Caenorhabditis elegans: one gene and its partner. The protein of the gene in region 2 purifies or fractionates together with the protein of the main gene of each other region. This does not show direct contact. Each region holds a gene or a part of one and is shown on either strand. Other genes may lie near its edges.

Region 1 (10,149 bases), 1.7 Mb from region 2:
TCATTCCATCTTATCATTTCATTTTTCTTCCCCCACTGCTCCTCCTACAATCACCAGTTGATCAAAAAAGTCTTAAAACTACAAATTGTTTGTATGTAATAGTAATATACTTACCACCCCCAGTTCTATTTTTACATTTTTTTTCCACTTTAAGTATCTATTAATTTTTCTTTGTTCCATTTTTGCTCCTGTAAAAATTTCACCGGAAATGCATTCTCGCTCCACTGAACTAGCGATTTCCGGCGTTTTTGTTCAGTTTTCTATTAATGTATGCGAACTTAACATAGACATTAAAAAAAAAGCGAAAAAATCTGCCGAAATCAACTGAGACCTCACAAATCTCGAAGACAATAAAATTGGGGATGTAGATTTCCAAAATGTTGTCCTTGTCTATTATTGATTTTGTTAAAGTTTTGGGCATCAAATTGCTTTATATTAATTTTTCATTGTATGCTGTAAATTTTTCAAGAATTTAAGTACAAAAACTATGCCACTCACCTTAACTCCGCCCCATTTTTTCGCGAATCAGCGTCTCCCAAATAACCAATTTCTCTAATCTATGTGGCCTCATTTTTGACAACTTCAGTTTTTAACGCTTCTACTAATTTTTAAAATATATTTTGATTTTCTAAAGGCATTTCCAAACATTTAAAAATTATGCGACCCTTCTTTGAACGATTCAAACTTGCAAAATAAGAGGCGGAGCCGATTACTGTAACGAGCAACTTTGTTTTTTCCCCCTGGAATTCCAGAAAACTGATTATTTTGTTTACGCTACAAATTGCAAGCCTTACACTTTTTTTTATCTATCACCATCCCGCGAATTCATAATATTTTGCATTTTTCTCAACTTTTTGAATTTTCAAACTTTGCTCGTCAAGTCTGGTGTTTTTGAACTTTCCGCATTTCTCATAATATCCTTAAGTTTGTGTACCCGTGGCGCAGTCGGTAACGACTTCGCCTTTTGGTCGAATGTTCCGTGGTTCAAACCCCAGTGACGTCCTAAAACTATAATCCCTTCTTGCAGCTCTTTTGTTTCTTGTAGAACTTCCCAAAATACATTGCAATATACCTTGATGTCTCTCCAAAAATCACCCATCTCCACCCCCTCATTATTCCTGCGTCTCTCGGGAATTCTCACTTTCTCTCTGTCTCTCTTTGACTTGCTTAACTGATAACACATCCGGCGGTCTTTTTCTCTTCTTAAAACGTCGGTTTTAAGAGAAAGAAAAGACTGTTTCCGGAAATCTATCAAACATTCTTCTTATCATCATTGTCCCATTTTTCTTTTAAGCACTCGTTTTTCTAGATTTTTATGAAAAAAATTATTATTTTTCTAATTTTTCAGCCCTAAAAAATTCAAAATTCCACCAACACGTTTTATCACAAATCTTTCACGCACAAATGCAGAACGAGAGTTCACAAGATGCATCAGTACCGCCAAAAATACCGCCGAGAAATCATCCGATTCATTTGAGAAATCGCCTGAAACTACAGTATATCGAACAGGCACTGTCGCCTGATATGGTAAGTATGATTCATGAAATATGAATTTTTAATTGATTTTTTTCATTACGAATGAGTCAAGAGCTCATTGATCAGTGAAATTTGTGATTTTTTAGTATTTCGGGGAGCACAAACTGATAAGCGGAGAAACATAATAAGTTATCGATTTAATTACAGGAGTCACACGCGGATGACGTAGCACCGTGTCATAGCAGAAAAGCCTCTTCAGTGGGCTTTGTGGAGATTGATGAGCTGTTGAAGTTTCAGGTGAGATTTTAGGCCAGTCAGGGCTATCCCAAAAAGTTTTTGACCAGAGTTTTTCAAAATTATTTTCCTAATATCTAAATATTTTGTTGTTTGACAAACTACACTTTTTCTGGCTCGAAATAACGAAAAAAACAAGTTCAAAAGATCTGGAGACAATATTTCAGTCAATCAAAAACTTGCGCGTGAAATCTGATGCATTGATTATTCGATGGTCCAAATTTTCCGCACAAATTCAAAAATTCAATGCACAAAAACACACGGTGTCCACGTGGAGTCAGAAATTCCCATTTCGGTTTGATCTTCAAAAAATGCGGGAGATTATCTTACCTGATTTCGCATGGTTAAGAACGTGCTGACGTCACATTCTTTTGGGCAAAAAATTCTCGCATTTTTTGTAGATCAAACTGTATTGAGACAGCCTGACATCACGTGGGTATCAGGTTGTATTTAAATCAGTTGAAAATTCTGCGTCTCTTCTCCCGCATTTTTTTTAGATCTACGTAGATCAAGCCGAAATTGGAAACTCTGGCACCACGTGCAAAAATCACTTCTCAGAACTCCAAATAAATAAAATTTTCCAGGACGACTACAAAGTTCGCTCGTCGACAGGCTTCTACTCATCTCTCCGAAATCTTTTTTCAACTGGAAACCCTTCAACAACCACAACAATCTCATCAATACCAGAATCCCATATAAATCCAATGTTCGCAAATCATGAGAAATGCTCAATTTCGAGAAGCTTCACACATCTACCGTACCCGCCGAAGAAGAAGAGGAAAAGTCACTTGAGACGCGTTTTTTCGTGCTTTTCGATTTTTAAACATTAGGATCTATTTTATTGTGTGTTTAATAGGTACTGGTGAAGTTTTGAATTTGCGCGTAAGATATGGTGCATCGTGACTGGTGCCAATGACGGCTGTCATAATTAATTCATCCCAGTGGCCGAGTAGTCAGAATGTCCCATTTCGGTTTGATCTACGAAGATCTACAAAAAATGCGGGAGTAGAGTTCTCAACTGATTTTGCATGATTAGAGGACGTGCTGCCGTCATGCAAAAATTCCCGCATTTTTTGTAGGTCAAACCGTAATGGGGCAGTCTGACACCAGTATTGCACCGAAAACTATCAAAGACACAATAATTCTGCTAATATTATTATGTTTCGATTATTTTTCAATTTGTTAAAAATTCCCTTTACTGGTTTTCCTGGCTTCTGTCATATTTTGGTTCCCCAATTCCCCTTCCTATCACGCATAATTTTATTAATTTTTTATTACATAATCTAGTCTTACCATGAATTCTCTGCTGACCAACGCAAAATCCAAACAAGTTTTTGCATAATTTTTGAATAAAATGATGATTTTTGTCTCGATAGAATTTTATTAGTATTTCTTATTTGCAGTGTAAAAAGGCACAATTAAATGATTGAATTCAATTCAATATTGAACAAAGTAAAGCATTATTTAGGCAGCACCATGAGTAGGTCAAAAAATTTTTTGGGTTGAAATGGCAATTTTAGGCTTGTTGAATTCCTTTTCTCGATACTTTCTTCTCCTTATTTCTTTTTGGTGGAACTGGAGTTGACGATGGTTCCTGACGACCGAAGAAATATCGATAGTCGTCAGTTCTGATGTGAGCCCAGACTCCGGCGGCTCCGTTGGCCTCGAATTGCTCCTAAAATCACAGAAAATTTTTAAATAAAAAATAAATAAAATATATATGTACCTCAATTCTCGGAATAAATGGATTGTGCTCCAATCTGAGCACCTGCTTTGACCCGACCAACTCCAAATTTCCGAGCTCTGGTGGAATCATAGCCAGACGATTTCCCTGAATATGAAGCTCACGGAGACGTGTCAGCTTTCCCAGCTCTTTTGGAAGAGTGAGCAAATCGTTTTCACGGAGCACGAGGATTTGCAAATTTGTAAGATTTTCGACGTCTCCGGGGAGCATTTCGAAATCATTGTCTCCGAGGTACAAGGCGCGGAGGGTTTCTGGAAATTGGGAGAGGTTTTTTCGGAGAAGGGAACACCGGATGCCCCAGATTCAGCTTTTTTAACTGATGTAGTGTACAACATCACATTTTTCTGGGCGAAACGTTCCCGCATTTATTGTAGATCAAACTTATTCCAGTCCTAACAAGAATTTAAAATTCCAATTTTTCCCCCACTTACGCATAAAGAAAAAGTTTCCAGGCAATGATCGTTCACTCAAATTGTTGTAGGTCAAATCAAGAATTTCCAGCTCTGGGAAGGATCCGAATCCACGTGGCAGAATCGACAGCTTGTTCATTCCGACGTTAAGAATTCGAAGTTTTGGAAGAGATGAAATCGATGGAGGTAGATCCTCGATTTGGTTATTCCACAAATTCAGGGACTGCAATTTTTTAAAGATTGGATTAAGAAGATTACCTTGATGTAGGGTTGGCTTACCTGAAGACTGACCAAATCCGCAATATTTGGTGGTACTGAAGTGAGCTTGTTGTGGCTCAAAGTGAGACGAGTGATGATTTCCGCATCGACTGGAATTCAATTTTTGGAAGATTTCGAAAATTTATCCCGCTTAGGCTTAAGTCTGAGCCTAAGCGTAAGCCTAAGCCTAAGCGTAAGCCTAAGCCTAACATAAGCCTAAGATTGAGCCTAAGCCTAAGCCAAATCCTGAGCCAGCGCCTGCGCCTGCGCCTACGCCTAAACCTAAGTTTAACCCTCAGCCTGAGCCTAAGCCTAGGACTAAGCCTAAGATTGAGCCTAAGCTTAAGCCCAAGCCTGAACCTAAGCCTCAGCCTAAGAAGCAACACATTTATTTTGATCTACAGACCCAATGCACCGTATTTGACGCGCAAATTCTATTTACGATTTTCCCGCGGAGGAGCTGAGCACAGAGCAACAGCTGCTGCTCCGCCAGATCAATTTCTAATGCATACGAAACCATGGAATAATTGAAGATTTGCGCGTCAAATGTGGCGCAGAGCTCAAAAAAATGCTTACTGAGATGTGAAATTTGAGAAAACGACGAAATATTCCGATCGACATGCTCAACCTCTGTCACTTCGTCTTTCTTCTTGTCCTTTGGCATTTTTACCTGAAATTTTAATTTTTTACATCCTTTTTTTGTGGATAGGAAATGGTGCTTCGCGAGTTGATAAACGATAAAATCAGTGTTAAATATGACTATTTTCATACTTTGACATGGTGCATCGACACAAAAATTTGAAGAAATAGCAATTCCAAAGATCTTTTTCACTTTCTCACTTTCTAATCCTCTATTAAATATAATTGCGGAAGAACTAGCAAAAAAATGGGAAAAAAAGGAAACACAGCTGGAATACCATTCAAGGGGATTCCAACGAGATAGTACATGAACCTGTAAAGACACAGAGACATATATTTGTTGAGAGAGGGGACGAAAGACGAAAGAAAAAGAAGAAATGACAGCGAATCGTAGGCGGAATGGACGTGTGTGGGGTGAGATGGGGGGAAAAGGAAAGTGTGTACAGCGAGAGAGTATTACACTGTTGGAGAGACGCAGGGTGCTGGAGACATTTCAGTTTGCCAAGAGAACGATGAGAAGCAGTGAAAAGTTCATTGAGCGATGGGCGGAAGGAGGATCCTCCTTGAGGAGAAGGTTACATTTTTATTGATTGATTTTTTTCGGGCCCATATTGCGATCAATTCTATTTTTTGAAAGGTTTGGGTTTTGTGTGTTTTTTCTAGATTTTCCTATTTTTTAAAGATTTTAAATTTCTAAATTTTAATCTTCGGCATCAAAAAATTTTAGATATTAGATTTACACAAATTTTTTTTTCCTTTTTTCTTATTTTTAATCTAAAAAAACAAATTTTTTCTTCAAAATGTTCGTCTTTTGGTACACCTCTAAAGGGGCACAAGTAAAATCTAAGTGATGGGTCTCGCAACGAACTACTACTAATTTTAAGTTCTTGAGGCGCGCCTTTAAGGTTACTGAAGGCAGCATTTATTGATTTTTAATTATTTTTAATCATTTTGTCTTAAGATGGCAAAAAGCGATAAGAAAAAATTCAGTAGAAAGAGAGAAAAAGGTAAACATTTCGATTGTCTCGTCGTCTTTTTTTTTTGCTTCATTTTCTCTCTTTTTTCACTTTTTAGTTTAAAAAAGCAAAAAAAAAAATTAATTTCCTTCCGTTCAGTGCCCATAAATCCGTTTATGAAACGTCATCAATATCTCTAAGCCCTCTTTTCTCTCTCACAGTATTCCAAATAAACAAAAAAAGATGTCTCTTCCTCCCTGCCAACCAACAGCCAACGTCAGTTTTTAAAATGAAATTTTTTTTTTCTAAAAATTGGCCAAAAAACCGATTTTTAGACTGAAAAAAGGCTTTAATGTCCAAAAATAATCAAAATTATCGATTTTCGACACGCTCGTAAATTAATTAGTCTTGTCAGTTGTCGTCAATTATAATGAATTACATCCCCGAGAAAAAGTAGATCAAAGACCGGTTTATCCCTCCCGACAGATACGGAATGTGTGTCCGCTTCCGATCAAAAGGTTCTCTTTTTCTTATTTTGTAGTCTGTGTGGAGGATACACTTGGTGATTAATTATTATTTATCGGCCTAAAAAATGGTTTTATATTTTTATAATACCCAGACGTGAAATTTTGCGATTTTTGCGCCCCGGGGCTCGACACGACAATTTTCTTATTAATTGCAAAAAAGGTGTACGCCTTTAAAGAGAATTTTCAACAATTTTAATTTTTTTTTTAAATAAAAATATATTTATTTAATGAAATCGAATAAATTTTTAACAATTCGTGACAAAAACTACAAAAAAATCTATGAAAATTCCGTAACTACAACAAAAGTTCAAAATTACAGTACTCTTTAAAGGCACACATTTAAAGTCACATGTATTTGAGAGAAATGTGTCGTGTCGAGACCCTGGTACCGGTACCGTAATCGCAAAATTGGGTAATAATGCTCAAAAATTTTTCAACTCTTCAGCAACATTTTTTGGTAATTTTTTAGAGAAAAAACACAATTTAGGCTAAAATCCGGAAACAACAAAAAACTGGCCGAAATTCTAATTTCACCATTTTTTGCTCTGAAAGCATTATTTTTTCACTTCTTCAAGTCATTAAATTCATGAAAAATGTGCATGGTTTCCCATCACAACCCGTCGTCTCCCAGCTGATTTTTTGTCTGTTTTCTCTCGCAATCTCTCCCCATTGAGCAATATTTTTGTAAGGCAACGTTGCATTGCCCACTTTTTTTTATTTTTTATTATATTTTCCCGTCCACGTTCTCTGTTCGTTTCATTTCTCGATTCTGTGAAGTTCAACGACGGAAACTCGCAATTTCAGAGAATGAGTGATCCGTGTGAATGTTTCTTCGATCATGAATCTGCTATGCAAAGACTTTTGGCTATGGTAAGGGAAATAATTATGGAAATATTCGGGGTTTAGCGCGAAATTTGCCAATACAATTTAAAAAAAACAAATTTTCGGCTCTCGACTCGATAAATTTGATATGAAATGCTAAAAGGTGTGCGCATTTAAAGAGTACTGTAGTTTCAAACGTTTTTCTGTTTTTATCGCTTTCTTCTGGTTCAAAAAATTATTATATTTTTGTCGAAAAACTACTAAAAATCTATGAAAATTCCGCAGCAACTAAACTTTGAAACTACAGTACCCTTTAAAGGCGCACGCCTTTTTCGCAGTTAACAAAAAAATAAAAAATTGTCGTGTCGAGACCCCGACGCACAAAATCACAACATATCGTATCTGAATACCCATTGCAAATCGTCATAAAACTCCAAAAAAAAAAAATGTTTTTGAAAAAAATCAAAATTTTGCAGCTCCGAAACTCGCAAGCGGACTGCACAGATACGGGTTGCGACAATGATGGTTTGAGTCGTGAAGGTGGCAATACAATGATGATGTGGACACTTTTATGGACATTTATGGCAATGGCACTTTACGTGATGAGACCCAATTCAATGAGATCTGATAGAAGAACCGCCGATGATGCAGCAATTGAAAAACCAACTGGAAGTTCTGATGTTAGTATTGTCAAGTTCGGATTTATCACAAGAGCGCAGAAAACCCGCTCCACGGCCAATTTTGGGTCTCGCCACGAAAAATTAAAATTTCGGGTGTGCGCCTTTAAAGTACTACGGTACTTTTTGCACAAGTATCTTAATTTTATTGTATTAGAGAGACGCAGAAAAAATCACCTGTGAAATCGATGTGAAAACACGCTCCACGGCTAAACGTAAAAGCTCCGCTCCCCAACAGTTGGGTCTCGTTAGGAATTTGGCGGGAAAACCGGATTTTCAAATTTTCAAGCAGTTTTCGTTGTTTTTAATGTATTCTCTATCCCAAATCGAAAAAAAAACAATAATTTCGGCATAAAAATCAGCGAAATTCCCAGTTTTTCCGCCAAATTCCTAACGAGACCCAACTGTTTGGGGGCGGAGCGTTTTCAATTGGCAGTGGAGCGCGTTTCTGCGTCTCTAATCTTTTTTTTTTGTGCCCGCCCGGCAATACATTGACCGGTCAATCAGTTATCAGAGACGCGAAAAAAGAAATCATCACCGGGTTTTATAGGTGTTTGTCCTACAGTCTAACTTGAATTTTTGAAAAAAAAAATTAAAAATTTTTTAGGGGATATGGAATACCCAGTTCCTTATTTTGGACTTTATTGCTAAATTGAAAAAAAAACAATTTAAAAATATTCCCTGGAATTTTTGTTTATTTTTTTAGTATTACGTGAACGCAAAATTCAGAGAATACGTATTGCACACCATATTTCACGCGCAAAATATCTCATAGCGAAAACTACAGTAGTCGTTAAAAGGATTACTGTAGTTTTCGCTACGAGATATTTTGAGCGTCAGAACTTTGTGTTTACGCAATATCAACAAAAAAAAACTAGAAAACTTTCAATTTTGGTTCATACGATAGTTTTTTTTTGTTGAAAAAATCGAAAAAAAAAAAACAAAATTTATCGATTTTCAGATTTTTAAATATAAAATTAAACTATTTCAAATTTTAAAATGTTCTAAACTTCTCCTCGGGGAGTACGCGTCCTATAAAATTTTAAAATTCCAATTTCCAGGACAACACGCCACCACCTCCACCGCCATCTGCAATGTAAATCTGAAATCCTCTACCGTCCGTCTTCTGTAACACTCTCCTCTGCCACCAACCATTCCTGTGTATAAATTGAAAAAATCCAGTTTTATTTTTGCAACTGGAATCCTCTGGGTCCTCCTCTTCTATTCATTCATATGCTTTTAATTTTCTCTCCCCTGTGCTTTGGGTATCACAATTTTCGTCTCTCTTTTTTTTTGTCAAATTTTCTGTGAAAATCGCCTACTACTAGTCCCTACCAATTTCTTGTACATTTCCGTCTCTCTGGGAATATGAATGAAGATTCGAGATTATTCGAGAGAGATAATTGTTCACACATTAAAATTAAATTAAGGAATGAGAGAAAGAGAAAGGGGGAACACGACGGAAAAAAGTGAACAGGAGCTGAAAGAAGGAAAAACATGAGAATAAAGTGAAAAATCAGAGAGAGAATACACACAAAATGGGGGAAAATGAAGATCAAGTACACGAGGAACCGAGGCTTTTATAGGGGGTCCACTCCAGACAAAAAACATTAAAATTCAAGATGGAATAGCGTGAATTTGCTTTGAAATAGCAAAAAATGATGAAAATTGACAAAAAAACGATAAAAACCCGGAAAAAATTCAGAAATAATGAAAAATTCATGTTTTTTGCTCAACTTTTGACAAATTTCCCCGGTCATTGGTCGAAAAATGGGCGAAGCTAATCGCTAATTGGTCGAAAAAAAGAATTAACAAGCCTCTGATTGCAGGACCAATCAGCGATTTGCTCCGCCCTTTTTTGACCAATCAGGGGAAAATGTCAAATTTTACGGGAAATTAGCTTGAATTTTATTGTTTTTTGTGGGATTTTTTTGGAATTTCAATTATTTTGGCAGGTTTTTTTTTGGGTTTTTTAAAAAGCGATTTACACTATTCCACCATAAATTTTAAAGAATAATTAAATTATGTAGCTGTGGCGGAAATAGAAATAGGCAGGCAGGTGTGAGGTAATATTTAGAGGAAATACGGAGCAACGACACGATCCGGCTTCTCACGGCTTCCATCGGGAACTGCGTTGAAATATTTCGTCGAGCGATTGTTTCCGTCGATTTCGAATACGGCCGCCGCGTTTCCGCATCGATAGCAGTAGTTTGGAGCTGCAATTTATCCATTTATTTGAAATTTCTTTTTGTAATAACTTTTAAAGCAATTTCAGTTTTTTCAGTTAAAAGTGTTTTATTTTCTTTTTTCTGTTTTTAAATTTTTATCGTTTCCTTTAATCCTTTT
Region 2 (13,816 bases):
GTCGTTCCTTCCACTATAATTTCATCATCCTCTTGAACTTGAACTTCGCCCGAAACTTCAGTTTTCTCCTTTTCTCCCGAATTACTGCTTACGAACATTCCGAAGAAGGTATTGAAAAGCCCTGAAATGTTGAAGATCGCTATTTCAAATTTATACTTTTATGGATCAAGGAAAAGGATTCACTCACCACCCAATCCTTGAGATTTCGTTTTTCTGGTTCTTTTTGTTGGCGACTGCTCTTTTTCTTCGTTTGTAACAGCTTGATCGGTTAACCAATGTCGTTTTCTTGCTAAATATTTTAATTAATTTCAGCTTATTTTTCATTCACTTCTCCTACATTGAGAGTCTTTGTCTGATAAATCAGACCTACGTGACATTCCGTTTCTCTTTCAATCGAATATCGTCTATTTTTGATGTTCCAGATTCAAGTAGCTATCCTGAAATATAGTTTTTAGCTGCTTTAAAAGATTTTTGCTATAGTAAATACTATCACAAAGGGCAACATTTTAAGTTTTTCAGCCAAAATAAAGAAGGCAATTAACCTCTAGGCAGTACGTAATCATTCAATTATTGCATAAATTACTTTTAATAAAAGAATAGATGAATGGGATAGAAGCGGAGGAGATTGGCTGCAGATCATTTTTGAATGAAATGAATAAAATTTGGGGAATCTGGAGAAAAGTTGAACTGTTAAAAAGATAAATGTGAACAAAATAAAATCCAATAGATAAAAATAGAAAGAGATCTCACCACAGGAAGACAGCCAATCAACTCTTTTTTTTTTGTTGATTCACAGTGAAAAGGAGAATTTTTGGAATCGATAATATATGGTAACGAGAGATGGAGAAAGAATAATAGTTTGTCAGCTTTTCTATAGATGGGAATATTTTCAACTTGACTGAACAATCCGGAATACAAAAAAAACAAGGAAACGAAACGGGAAAAATGTGGTGAAATTTTGAATAACTTAGTAATAAATGGTAATAAAAACAATTAGAAAGAGAATACTCGGAGACTCTTATCCAATGAACACGTCACCAATGAACGAGCATTTTCTCCGAATCTAACTCCAGTGACTGGTCCAGAATGATCAGAAAGTGATACAACTTCACTCCAGCTCTTCACATGCAAAACTTGAACTTTTTGGCCACCAATTCCTAGGAATGTTCCAGTCATGTCGAAGGACAGGGAGTTGATCTGAAAAAATTATATTTTTTCATTAAACATTTGCTTAACAATTTCTTACCGGTTGTTTCTCTTCGTTAGCGAAAGTTTTCAGATTCTTCAATTTTCTAAGATCCCATAATTTGACCTCTCCATCCTCTGATCCCGTAGCCAAATAATATCCGTTTTCAGAAAACGCAATCGAACGAACGGCAGCAGTATGTCCCGGGAATGCAGCAGCCACGGTTTGATTCTTCAAATCCCAAATCTTCACAACGGCATCCGCAGCTCCAGTTCCAAAAATAAGACCATCAGGATGGAACTCGATGGAATGAACGGCAATTTGTGATCCTGGTTCAACTGAAACCTTGCAAAGCGATTTTCCGGAACGAATGTCGGAGAATGCCCAGTAAGAATCATCAGAAGCGGAGAGAATGTAATCACCGGATGCATTGAGGGAGATATCTGTAAAACATTGTTTGTTCAATAGAAGAATTACAGCTAGCGAATTTTTTTCAAATATCTCACCTGTAACGGGTGCCTGATGGACATCAATAATAGCCTTCGAAGACGAATCAGTTGCACTCCAGACTCTAATATGTGAATCAGCAGAAGCAGAGATTGCAGTAATATTATCCGGATGCAAAACAACTGCGTTGATCTTCTTGTTATGCCCCTTGAATGTTTGCATAACCTGTTCCTTTTCATAGTCATACAAGACAACGGTTTTATCAATTCCTCCGGTAAGTGACAAATTTCCCTTGATATCCAATGCAGTAATTCCAGGAGTTCCAGTCGAATGAATTCCAGTGTGAGATGCTGTCTGTTTCAGCTCGGCGAGCTCTTCTGTTTTGGCAAGTCCTTCAGGAAGATTTTTTCCTCGTTGTTTACGTTCAGCAGTCAGACTCTTTGATTTCTCTTCAAGTTTTGCCAGAATTGCCTCACTAAGACCTTGTTGATCTTCAGACTCGTCAATGCTGACATCATCGTCAACTTTCGCCGATGTGTGTGGTTTCAAAGTAGACAATGCTTCTCTAGCAGCGGTCAATTCTTTGGAGAGGCGGGAAATAACACGACAAGCGGCATCGTGTTGGTACAGAGAGTGAGAAAGTTCTTGACGAGCAATTTGGAGTTGTTGTCGGAGAGAGAAGCTGTTGAGCATTACTGTATCCCACTCGTCTTGAAGCATTTTTAGTAGAGATGGGATGGATGTTCCAGAGACATTGCGTGGTGCTGATCCAGTGCCGCCACTTTTCAATGAAACGAGCTAAAAAATGAATTTTAGAAATTATTATTTTGTTTTTTCAATGAATTATCATTTCGAAGTTTCACGTCAGTGAAGATAATTGCAAGGTTGACAAACCTGGTCTTCAGAAAGCTCTCCATGGCTGATCGGATCTGTTCCGTTTTCGGCAATGAATTTAACGATCAGCCGACGATCAAAGATGTGCCCTGAGACTTGAGAGACGACTGGGTCTTCGGTCAGTTCACCACTGATTCCGCACACGAAAGACATCTCCTGAAAGTAGCAAAATATACACGAAACCGCTTGATTGACGTGGGACATAAACGAAGAAAGTTTCAATGCGAATTTTGTAGGATAATTACATTTATCGAACGAGTGGTCAATAAATACGTACTCTGGCTAGTGACTAATCGAACGGCGCATTGGATCAAATGTTTTAAACTTGTCTTTAAAAGAAAATCTAGAATTTTAACCAGTTTTTCATGAAAAAATGCAAGTTTTCAAGTCAAAGGAATTCGAGACACCACGGTTTCAAGATCTGATGGGATCCCGGATCTACGTTTTCCGGATCTACCATTTCCGGATCTACGTTTTCCGGATCTACGTTTTCCGGATCTGGCACCGTGCCAACGCACAAAACGCTTTTCAACGCACGACTTTTTTCGAAATTTTCTTCTAGAAGAAACGCTTAAGAACACGCGACGCGTAACATCGCAGCGTCGTTGTCACTTTTTTCTTCGAAAAAATAGCGTTTTAAGAGTTGGCACGGTGCCAGATCCGGAAAACGTAGATCCGGAAAACGTAGATCCGGATATGGTAGATCCGGAAAACGGAGAATCCCACCAGATCTTGAAACCGTGGTGTCTCAGGAATTCCATGCAATGAGAATTCGAAAAACTGCAGTGGAGCGTACTTGCTGCAGCTTTTCCGGGCGGGGCCGAAGAAATGTCGGCCATGAGACTGGGGAATAAAAACGATTTGAAAAAATAATTTGGATTTGAATTTTCTTCCCAAAAAATGCAAATCGGGGAATATGAGCTCACTTTCATCGATGTTGCGGTGTTTGTGGTGTTTCTCGTGGCTTTGAATAAAATTGTTAAAAGGATGCTTGTTGCAAAAATCAATGAGCCAGCGAAATATGAGGTAATTTGCAAATAAATCTTGGGATGTGAATTTTTGTTTCTCAGATCGAACAGCTCGAAGAGCGTGATATGACAATGGAAGAAATCGAAAGCATGCGCCGCGAGGAGAACAGGTGCCTGGTCATTGTGGAAGACAAAGTAATAAAATACTTTTCGGATTATCAAAAAAATAAGTTTATTTCAGATTTACGACCTCTCTGGCTCACAAGATCTCTATGACAACAACCGCGATCTTTTCGAGAGTAGTGAAGGATGTGGACCTGAATGGGCACCGATTTGTGCTAGGAAATATCCATTCGTCGGACACGTTTTGAAGAATTAATTAAAATCTCAGCGGGAGTTTGATCAAATTTCGGGTTGTTTAAGTTGTGTCAGTTACATCGTGTTTTTTTGTTGTTAAATAAAACGGTTATTTTTTTTCATACATTGCTTTTTACATCTCTTATTATTATAGGCTGAAACAACCTTCATTTTACTTTTGCCCGTTTTTTAGATGACTTTGATTCAAAAAACCACGTTTACAGATCAAGTATGGCTTTGATGTACCCATTCCACGTAGCACAACCTCCACTCAACTGGTCCGAGCACTTGTGGGTTTCCGAAGTCTCACCAGCAAAAGAGTCATTCATCACCACGATTTGTGAGCACCGTCAAGCTCAATGGGTACGTTTTTATTTCAAAATCACACTTTTCTGAAAAAGTACATTGTTGTTCATTCTAAATTTATTGCAGGATAATCAAGATCTTCTGCGTCACTTGCAAGACAGTGTGGCTATTCTGACTCGTGAAGATCAACGTCATGTGAACGCTGTCCATGCAGCAGCAAATATGCCTGCAAATCCTTGAATTCCCTATTCTACACCATATTTATCTGTAAATAAAACTCGATTTGGCATACCATTTTTTTTAATTATGGAATTCATTTCCGAGGTACTGACCTCGTTATTACCTAATTTAATATTTTGTTCTCAAATTATTCCAGATTTTATTCAATCGCTTCTTTTCAGTTTCATTGGGAAAGACGAACCGAATAATAGGTATTAATATTGTACTGTAATTATTAAAAAGAGTTGTGAGATGACCGATGAGCAAAGGTCTGGAAGTAGGCGGAGAGGAGGAGCCCTTGGAGGTGGAAGGGGAGGAAATAGCCAGAATAGTGGTGAGTTCATGACTAATCATTTTTAAAAATTCATACAATGAAGTATATTAGGCCCTTCGTATTGCTTAAAGATTGAGGTTTTACTGTTCTTAGTATTCAAAAATACCGTTGATTCACTCTCTACTATAACTTTTTCCTTATCAATCCTGAAGTTATTGAACAGTTTTAGCAGAAACGCCACTTTTATTTATTTATCAACTTTCTTATCAAACAAAGTGAAAACTTTATAGCAATTTTCGAACAGAGTGTTCTTCATTTTTTCTTAATTTTCATATTGAACTAACATTGAACTTACAGGCCGGAAAAGATCATCAAACAGTCCAGCTGATTCGGCTTCCTCCTCCCAAAAGACGAGCAGAAATCCATCGCAAAATCGTCCTCCAATGAACATCGTTCCTCAAAAAGTCACAATTCTGAAACGAAATCAGGATTCTCAGCCAACATCTCCAATAAATCGGAATGCGCCACCAGGACCCTTGGTTGCCGCTGTACAACCATTGATGGCTGTTGAATTGGGCGATTCGGGAGCTTCATTGAAAGGATGGAATTCAAATCCTACTACTCCAGAGAAAACAACGATTAATGTTGCTGGACGACAAGCAGAAGCCAACAAAAAACAGACGCAAGAGTATTATTTCTCCAAAAATGCCGGGTCAGCCGTGTCGGCTCAAACATTTCAAGAGACTGTCCAGTATCCAATGAGCTCATTTCCGTTGGAAAAGAATGTACCTATTCAAATTGATAACAATTTTACGGTTAGTTGTGAATAAAAAATTAAAATCATTCGCTGTATTCCAATAGAACAAAATTCGTACTTTAAACTTTAAAATAGCAAAAAAATGTATGAAATTAATTTTTAAAAGTCAAGTTTTTAGCTGTTGATTACTCCAACTACGAGCAAGTGCAATGGACTATTCATCAAAGTAAAATTACAACATGGAGATGACAATATCACAACTGGAGCTCTGTTGAAATTGGATGCAGATGAAAAGACGATCAGAAAATCTTGCAGGGAAACTATTGAGAATCTCTTGAAAGGTTTGAACTGAGTTTTCCGATTTCATTTCACTGTTTCTCAACAGTTTCAGCAAAGTCTTCATCCGACAGATTTCCATTCTCAAAGTGTTCTGAGGGATTTCTGACTTCTTGTTTGATCAAGAAACTTGTCGATCGTCTAGAAGCGTTCCCAGAGGCCATATACTATTGCGAAAAGTGCGATTATCATATTAATACAATCGGACACGCAAAAGCACACTTAGAGAGCAGTACACATTTTGATGATGTTAAGCGACAGGAACAACGGGAGCATCTTTTGAAAATTATTCCACCTCCGACTGAAGCACATTTAGAGAGTGTTGAAAAAGTTTTGGAAGGAACATTGAAATCGTATCAACAGGTTAGATTATCTTGAAACTGGATTGGAAAAAAACGAAATTAACGGAGGATAAATTGTGATTTTTCTCTAAAAAGCTGAAATTCAGAAATAAAATTTCGTTTTTTCTATCCGGTTTCGATCATTTTTCTCTCAACTAACCCTTCTCTCGTCAAGTATTTTCAGGTTCGTCAAAATGGAATCGAGATCGGTGAAACAATCATCTATTACTTGAGTACTACAGTATTCCCATCGATTGGATTGCAAGATGTGATACTTCGACCATTTGGATCTGTAACATATGACGTCACACTTCCGGATAGTGATTACAATGTGGCATATACTATGTCAATTCCTGAAGGAACTCCAATATTTGCATTACTTGAACAAGTTCGAAAGAAGATTGCCGATGATGGACATCCAGCTGATCATTCCATGGAAATGGGAACACCGTCAACAATTATATTTACATTCAAAGGAGTTCGAGTTAAACTTTGTTGGATGTCATGTTTCAATCATCGTATACAACTTCATTTTTCTGAATTGATGAAGACCTATGTAAATTTACGAGAGGAAGTTGCTCAATTTCTTCAACTTATTCGTCTTTGGGCAACGAAAGCTGGCCTTGACTCCAAAAATAAGCCTAGAATCGGACTTCCTCGATATGGATTTGATATAATGGCCATTCATTTTCTTCAGCAGATCGGATGCCTTCCAGTACTTCATGAACTTTTTGAAGCAGGTCCAGAAACTGAGAAAATTGAAGAAATGAGTGCTGAAAAGACAGCAAAACTTCAATCGGAAGAAGCTGGGCAACGTAGAATGAGATTGATGTCTCGATATGAGAAGAATACTGAAAAGATTGGTACGAAGTTCGACTTGAAGAAATCTTGGAATCTAGCTGAGCTCTTCATTGGCTTCTTTCGGTATTATGTTGAACGACATCGGGACGTAGTCATCCAAATTACACAGCTTATTCCAATGAGTCGAGATGTGAGCCGTTGGAATAAAAAGATTCTTCATGTTGTTGATCCATTCCGTGGTGACAATGTTCTTTCAATACCAAAGGTTTCTACTTGGCAACCATTCTTTTTCAATTGTCTCCTAACATCATTTGTATCGTTTTCGATTCCAAGAACCAAGAATGGACCATTAATTGAAGTTTCGTTTGTTCATAATGTAAGTTTGGTTTCTTTTTTGTTTGATGTTTTTATATCTATTATTCCAGAAAACTATCAAACCTGGAAAAAAGTTCAAGGATACTCCAAAAAAGGCAACGGTGGAGGCACCCATTCCATTGACTCAAATAATGGAAGAACATTATCAAGAACCTGTATATGAGATTGTAAATGATAAAGATCATCTAAAATATATGAAAGAGCTCAAGGAACGTCTGATGATTGATGGAATCTTAGTGAATGAACGAAAACCAATTGATTATCACACTGATGATCATCGAGAATGTGTTTATGGTAGAAATTCACTTTTGCGATTCAAGAGAGTTCTCAAACCAGGACTAAATGGAAAAATGGCAGCATCAATGGATGGATTGAGTTTTGTGACGAAAAAAGGAAAGAAATTCATCAATCGGTGGAAGAAGGCGAACGTCATCATTTTATCGGAAGATTCTTCTGAAATAGACGAAAAGACGAAAGCAGCTGATAGTAATGTGTCCGAAATTGCAGAAAAATTGGAGGAAACCCTCAAGATTTCTTCTCAAAAGAATATTGACGTTGCAGTAACATCCATGCCTGTTTCCACGGTAATTTCAGATTTTGAAATTTTAATTAATCACTGACAAGTAACTTTTGATTTTTTTAAACTAATTTTTACTCAATTTTTAGGAAATCAAGCCGGAACCCATCACGAAATTATCAAATGAAGCACCAGTGAAGATAAAAAATGTTGCTCAACCTCAATGTGATCTCATAGAAGCACCACAAGAATCTCTAATGAATGAATCTATGATGGAATCCAGTTTCGATGAAACTGAATCTCCAATGAAAACTCCAATTGTTCAGAAACCTGTGAAACAAAATGCGACATTTGGGAAATCTACGATATCCACAGTAATCCCCGATAAGCAATTCTGCAGTGAAGAGTTTTTCATTAAATTGAATTCGAATTTGAAGGATATTGTATCCAAATCGAAAAGTCTAAAACCATCAGATTTTCATTATGAATTCTCAACTGATCTTTTCTGTGGAGACTTTGAAATGGAAATGAAATGTACACATTGTGATGGTAGTCATTGTGTTGAAAACTGCCCGATGATGGAAATTCCACCGATTAAAAAATATCAAGCAAGAACTCCCGAAGATTTGAAAGATATTGATGATATGATTGATAAATATTATCATGAGAATATTCTTGATGAACGACGGCTCAAAATGTTGGATCACAAGATTGATGAACTTCAATCATTTTTAAGGAAAAACTATCGTGAAGATGTCACTCTTACAACATTTGGAAGTGTTATGACAGGATTAAGTGTCAATTGTTCAGATATTGATATTTGTTTGAGATTCGGAGATGGAGATGTTCCGCCAAAGGATTTGACAGCAAAAGAAGTTATTCAGAAAACTGAATCCGTTCTCAGAAAATGTCATTTGGTAAAGAGAGTTCAAGCAATTGTCACTGCAAAAGTGCCAATTGTCAAGTTTCAAGTGAAACTTTCCAATGGAGCAATTATTGATGTCGAGTAAGTTTAGAAGATTTAATTTTTCAAAATGAACAGAATTTTTAAAATATAAAATCTCGAAAAAATTTTGACTCGTAGTTATAGTGTTTAGTTGAAAAAGAATCATAGTCAATAACTGTAAAATCCCAAAAAAAAAACAATGTACACTACTCCAAGGGCACGTGGTGTCAGGCTGTCCCATTTTGGTTTGATCTACGTAGATCTACAAAAAATGCGGGAGAAGAGACGCAGAGTTCTCAACTGGTTTCGCATGGTTAAGAACCTGCTGACGTCACATTTTTTTGGGGAAAAAATTGCCGCATTTTTTGTAGGTCAAACCGTAATGGGACAGCCTGACACCACGTGCAAGGGGAGTACACGAGCTGCGTAAATCGACACGAGACCATCTCAGAGGTTTACGATTTTCACATATATAAGAGTTTAGAAAAAAATTGATTTTTTAACTACTAGGAATATAGAAAATAAGTGGATGAAAGATAATTGTCATTATCTGAAATTATTCTAAATTTCAGTATCTCCTACTACAATATATTGGCAATCTACAACACAGCTCTTCTGAAAGAATATTCATTGTGGACGCCTGACAAACGTTTTGCTAAATTGGCTCTCTTTGTGAAGACTGTAGCTAGTTTTTCTTATTCTTTTGAAAATTTCATCCTCTAATTTCCAGTGGGCCAAAAATTGTGAAATCGGAGATGCATCACGTGGATCATTGAGCTCATATTGTCACGTCATCATGCTCATTTCTTATCTTCAAAACTGTGATCCACCGGTTCTTCCACGCCTTCAAGAAGATTTTCGAAGTGATAATCGGGAAAGACGACTCGTTGACAACTGGGATACGTCATTTGCTCAAGTTGAGACCAGTTTGCTACAACGTTGGCCTAAAAACAAAGAATCGTGTGCTCAGCTGCTCATTGGATACTTTGACTATTATTCGCGTTTTGATTTCCGGAATTTTGTTGTTCAATGTCGACGGGAAATGATATTGTCGAAAATGGAAAAAGAGTGGCCGAGACCTCTTTGTGTAGAGGATCCATTCGATTTGAGCCATAATCTGAGCAGCGGTGTTAACAAGAAAAGTATGTTGCCAATTGATTTATATCAGATGTTCAGATGTTCAGAATCAGATGATGTATATTAGTTTAAAAAAATGTTCAATCTTCCTGTTTGAATTTCCTCCAAAATGAGAACTGCACGACAAATCAGCGCCTTCGAACTCCACCCATTCCGTCTGATTGGTTCAAAAGTGGGCGGAGCGAGTCGCTAATTAATCGTAGTTCTCATTTTTAAGGAAGTTCAAAAGTAATCTTATAAAATTATTAAGTCTTGTTTTTAAAGTTAGATTTTTATTCCTGACTTTTAGACATTTTTGAGCATTTCAAAATGAAACTGATATTTTTGTTTTTTCAGTGTTCGTATTCATTATGAAAGTGTTCATCAACTCACGAGCAGTCTTCATGTCTGAGAAACCACCGATGAATCGAGATCACACTTTCCTATCATCATATCAACACCAGTTACTTCGAAAATGCAATCAAGGATCCGCTCCAACTGATCGTCAATGTCATCAATGTCATAGGATAGGACATTTTGTAGAATCGTGTCCGCAAAGAGCCCTGGCGTATGTTAAAGCAGAAGTAGAATTTTATTAATGAACAATTTTCAGAAAAGAAGCCCGGAAGCGATTTGGATCAAACTCGACAAACTCATCATACCGATCAAATGATAGTGGAAGAGGATTCAAAAATGGAGAGGAAGGTGGCGATCGTCTGACTTATCACAAAAGGGTATTAATTAATATTTTTTTAAGTTTAACACTCTTGTTGGCTTTTATTCAGCAAGTTTCTACGTTCATAACATAAAAATATTTTCAGACATACTATCATCGCTCGTACAACAAATAAATTCTCTCCACCCATTCACTTCACACAACAAACTGGATTTTCACCCCCACGAAAACTATTCTGAATGTGTATACATACGTATATATCCAGAAGAATATTCTAGTTCTATTTCCCCATTCCCCCACTATAATCATCTTTATAATTTTTTTCTTGCTTTCATCGTTCCCCTAGTTAATCATTTATCATGTGCCTTCCAGCGTTCTTCCCTACTCCCAAAATGTTTTAGGATCCGTGTTTTTTTTTGTTTTTCTTTTTTCAAATTCTCTGAATTATAATTTAAAAAGAATCTTCCTAAATCTAGGAATCACATTTGAGTTGTTGTACTTTTTCTGTTCGTTTTCTGTTGTGTTATTTGTGATCCAAACAATTCTGCACCATTAACGGGTCCATTTTGGACACTATCACCAACAGTCTTCCCACCCAATTTTTTTTTCATAATGAAACTTTCCCCATGATTTTTTTGTCTCAAAAGTCCCTAAAAATCCAGTTGCCAACGTCTCTCCACATCCCACTCTTTCTTTTTTTTTTCACTTTCGCATAGTAAAGCAACAAGACATTAGGAAACCGTGAGAGGGTCTAGAAAGTGTACGAAACAATCGGGAGCCCGGGCACCCGGGGATGAATGTGTTTACTCGGCAAAATTGTGTGAGAGAAGCAACCGATCAGTTTTCTTCTGATGTCTACGTCTCGAATGCTCTCGATTTTTCGCCCATTCAGTCTCTAATCACTTTTCTTGGATCATGTTCGTGCTGTACAAGTTGGCATGTTTCGTTATCAACTGTTTGATTCCCTGATTACAAAAAAATTCACCATTGGCTGCCAAGGACAACTAAATTCTGTTTTTATCTGGGAAAAACTTCACTAAATTCTAATTCAACACTGTTCAGAAAATTGTTAATTCGTAAAAATTTACCACCATTTTACGATTTTTTAAATTGAATAATACGTTTATGAACGTGTATATCTTAAACTCTACAGATAAGCCTGAATTTACTATAAATATTAAAACTTTTATAAAACTTCTAGCAGCCAGTTTCAAGTTTTTGCGAACAGACGATGAATTAATTTTTTAATGCATTTGAGGAAAAGTATCTCATTATTTTTTATGCAATATTTCAAAATGTTGGCCAATAATTTGAAAATTAAATTAAATTATCGTTTCCAGCTTTGATCAAGCGAGTTTAAGCTCAATTAAATGTTAATTTCGAGGAAGTTATTATCTTTTTTGAATTTAGCGGCGGAGAAATTCGCGATGGAGCGCATTTCCACCTTCTACTTTTTAATGAATTTTTTACCGGTTTTTTCTATTTTGATCATCGCGCGAATGTTTTTCTCGTTTTTGTATTGAAAATTGTTTGACTTCTCAAACGAAATAATACTTTTCGTTGTAATTTCCGTTGAATTCGAAAGAAACTGCTGAACACTGCAATGGGTTACGTCATTTCCCGCAATGAGGTGCGTTTCCTCTCAGTGCGCAAACTGCAAGAGAGACCAGACAACAAATAGATCAAAACGTGCCGTCCGGACTTGTAGACGATCTTGACCAAAATGCGCCAAATTCTTTTTTCTGTCAAAGTAAACCAATACACATGTGTTTTTCTTCTCCTGTGTCTCCTGCTCGTTCGTTGCGTTTTGATCTGTTCGTTTTTTACAGTTTTCTCTTATTTTTCAACTTCGTTTTGTTCATTTCCACAACTCATTTTCTTCTCTTCTTCTTTTGGATCGGACTGTTCATGTTCGTTTTCTGGTTTTCTCTCGTTTCCTCGACCACCTCTCAGCGCAGAATGGTCTCTCATTGGGCCTGTCGACAGTCTCTTTTTCTCTACGCCCTCTTGATCTGACACACTCTCTTGCCGGTCTTCTCATATTTTCCGCCCGAATTTCCCTCATTTTCACATCCTAAAAATGCCGAGTTTCGATTGAATTTGATTCAGATAGATCTCTTTTCAAGCAAAAAAATTCATCGACGTTTTGACATTGCTTTTTTCGTTAACAAAAACCAAAACTTTTCTGATTTTATCGCCGCCGATCAGCCGTTTTCTTTCAAGGCGGCAGGTGCATTTCTGGTTTGATTAAAAATATGAGGAAATCAATGTTATTCATGTTTTCTCATATTCTTCTCTCTTGAAATCACTAAAAACATTAAATGACCCTCTATTATTGACTTTTCAAACCCTTTCTGCTCTGAAAGAGACTGTTTGCTCTTCGAATCGATTTTATTTTCGTGATTTTCATCGCAGCCCTATTTTTTAGTCATGAATTTTTGAATTTTGGCCTAAAATTTTGTGAAAAAGTTTAGTCTCGGAATATTTCCCATCTTTTGAGAGAACGGTATTAGATTTTGAGTGCAAAGAGTTTTTCTGTTTTTTATAACACTGACACTAGCGAAAACGATGCTCTTTAATCCTTGATCGCTACTTTGCGGCACTCAAATATTTTATCAATCAAGTCGATATTTTCCACTAAATTAAAAAGTTCACTCTAGATGGACTCGCCAAAAAATTTAATGGACACGCAAAATATTAGTATCCAAGGGCTCATTCTCAGCTTTTGATTGGCCGATTCAGATTGACTCAAACCTAAAATTCTTTCCTATTCCCTTTTATAAAGTTGATAAGAATTCAAAAACATTCACACTTCTATGTCGTTCTCCGTGTTTTTCGTTTTTCTCCATCAGAACACCACTCATAACTATTATTTTTGATGTGTTCCAAACGTTCAGCCTGCAGAGACGTTTTCTCCTATTTTTGCGCCGAAATTGCATTGTTTTGTGTGCAAAGTAGGTGTCATTTGGTGCGCAGGTGTGTGTAGAACTCGAGAAAGAGGTTAATTGTCAGTGTGTACCACGTCATTTTATTCTAGGATAATATATGTAAATCATGAGCTATATTTGGTTTTTTTCTTGAATTGAGCACGTTGGCGTGTTACACTTCTAAAGTTTTGTGGTTCGTATACGGTTTCGAATTTCACCTTCTTCCTGTTTTCTCTTTTTATCTGATAAGACACAGCGAGTTGTTTGTTGTTTATTGGTTGGCTGGTTCCGCAGTCAATACTAACTGTGTGTTCTTTTTCACAATCTCTCTCGTTAGGCGTTCCCCCGATGAAAAGTATTGTTGTTTGATTTA

Evidence for each region.
Region 1: the proteins of cid-1 (region 2) and rsu-1 fractionate together in Caenorhabditis elegans (co-fractionation; one large-scale study listed by BioGRID). This does not show direct contact.

The regions. Positions count from the first base shown.
Region 1 is NC_003281.10:3,466,706-3,476,854, reverse strand, and holds rsu-1 (Ras suppressor protein 1), read right to left. Parts: upstream 4,853-10,149; 5' UTR 4,847-4,852; coding exon 4,759-4,846; intron 4,293-4,758; coding exon 4,204-4,292; intron 4,148-4,203; coding exon 3,946-4,147; intron 3,766-3,945; coding exon 3,497-3,765; intron 3,446-3,496; coding exon 3,287-3,445; 3' UTR 3,136-3,286; downstream 1-3,135. Other genes in the region: C34C12.9 (uncharacterized protein), read left to right, coding at 1,405-1,527, 1,684-1,773, 2,355-2,600; smim-14 (Small integral membrane protein 14), read left to right, coding at 7,112-7,174, 7,603-7,806, 8,865-8,903; pph-6 (Serine/threonine-protein phosphatase 6 catalytic subunit), read right to left, coding at 9,877-10,019.
Region 2 is NC_003281.10:5,169,363-5,183,178, forward strand, and holds cid-1 (4Fe-4S ferredoxin-type domain-containing protein), read left to right. Parts: upstream 1-4,559; 5' UTR 4,560-4,629; coding exon 4,630-4,711; intron 4,712-5,008; coding exon 5,009-5,466; intron 5,467-5,586; coding exon 5,587-5,749; intron 5,750-5,799; coding exon 5,800-6,107; intron 6,108-6,269; coding exon 6,270-7,262; intron 7,263-7,311; coding exon 7,312-7,845; intron 7,846-7,927; coding exon 7,928-8,784; intron 8,785-9,296; coding exon 9,297-9,405; intron 9,406-9,454; coding exon 9,455-9,866; intron 9,867-10,197; coding exon 10,198-10,408; intron 10,409-10,453; coding exon 10,454-10,574; intron 10,575-10,661; coding exon 10,662-10,691; 3' UTR 10,692-11,145; downstream 11,146-13,816. Other genes in the region: ulp-1 (Sentrin-specific protease), read right to left, coding at 1-121, 188-289, 338-377; prp-19 (Pre-mRNA-processing factor 19), read right to left, coding at 994-1,197, 1,247-1,629, 1,693-2,431, 2,528-2,680; K10D2.5 (uncharacterized protein), read left to right, coding at 3,428-3,553, 3,598-3,690, 3,737-3,874; Anaphase-promoting complex subunit emb-1, read left to right, coding at 4,084-4,215, 4,285-4,398.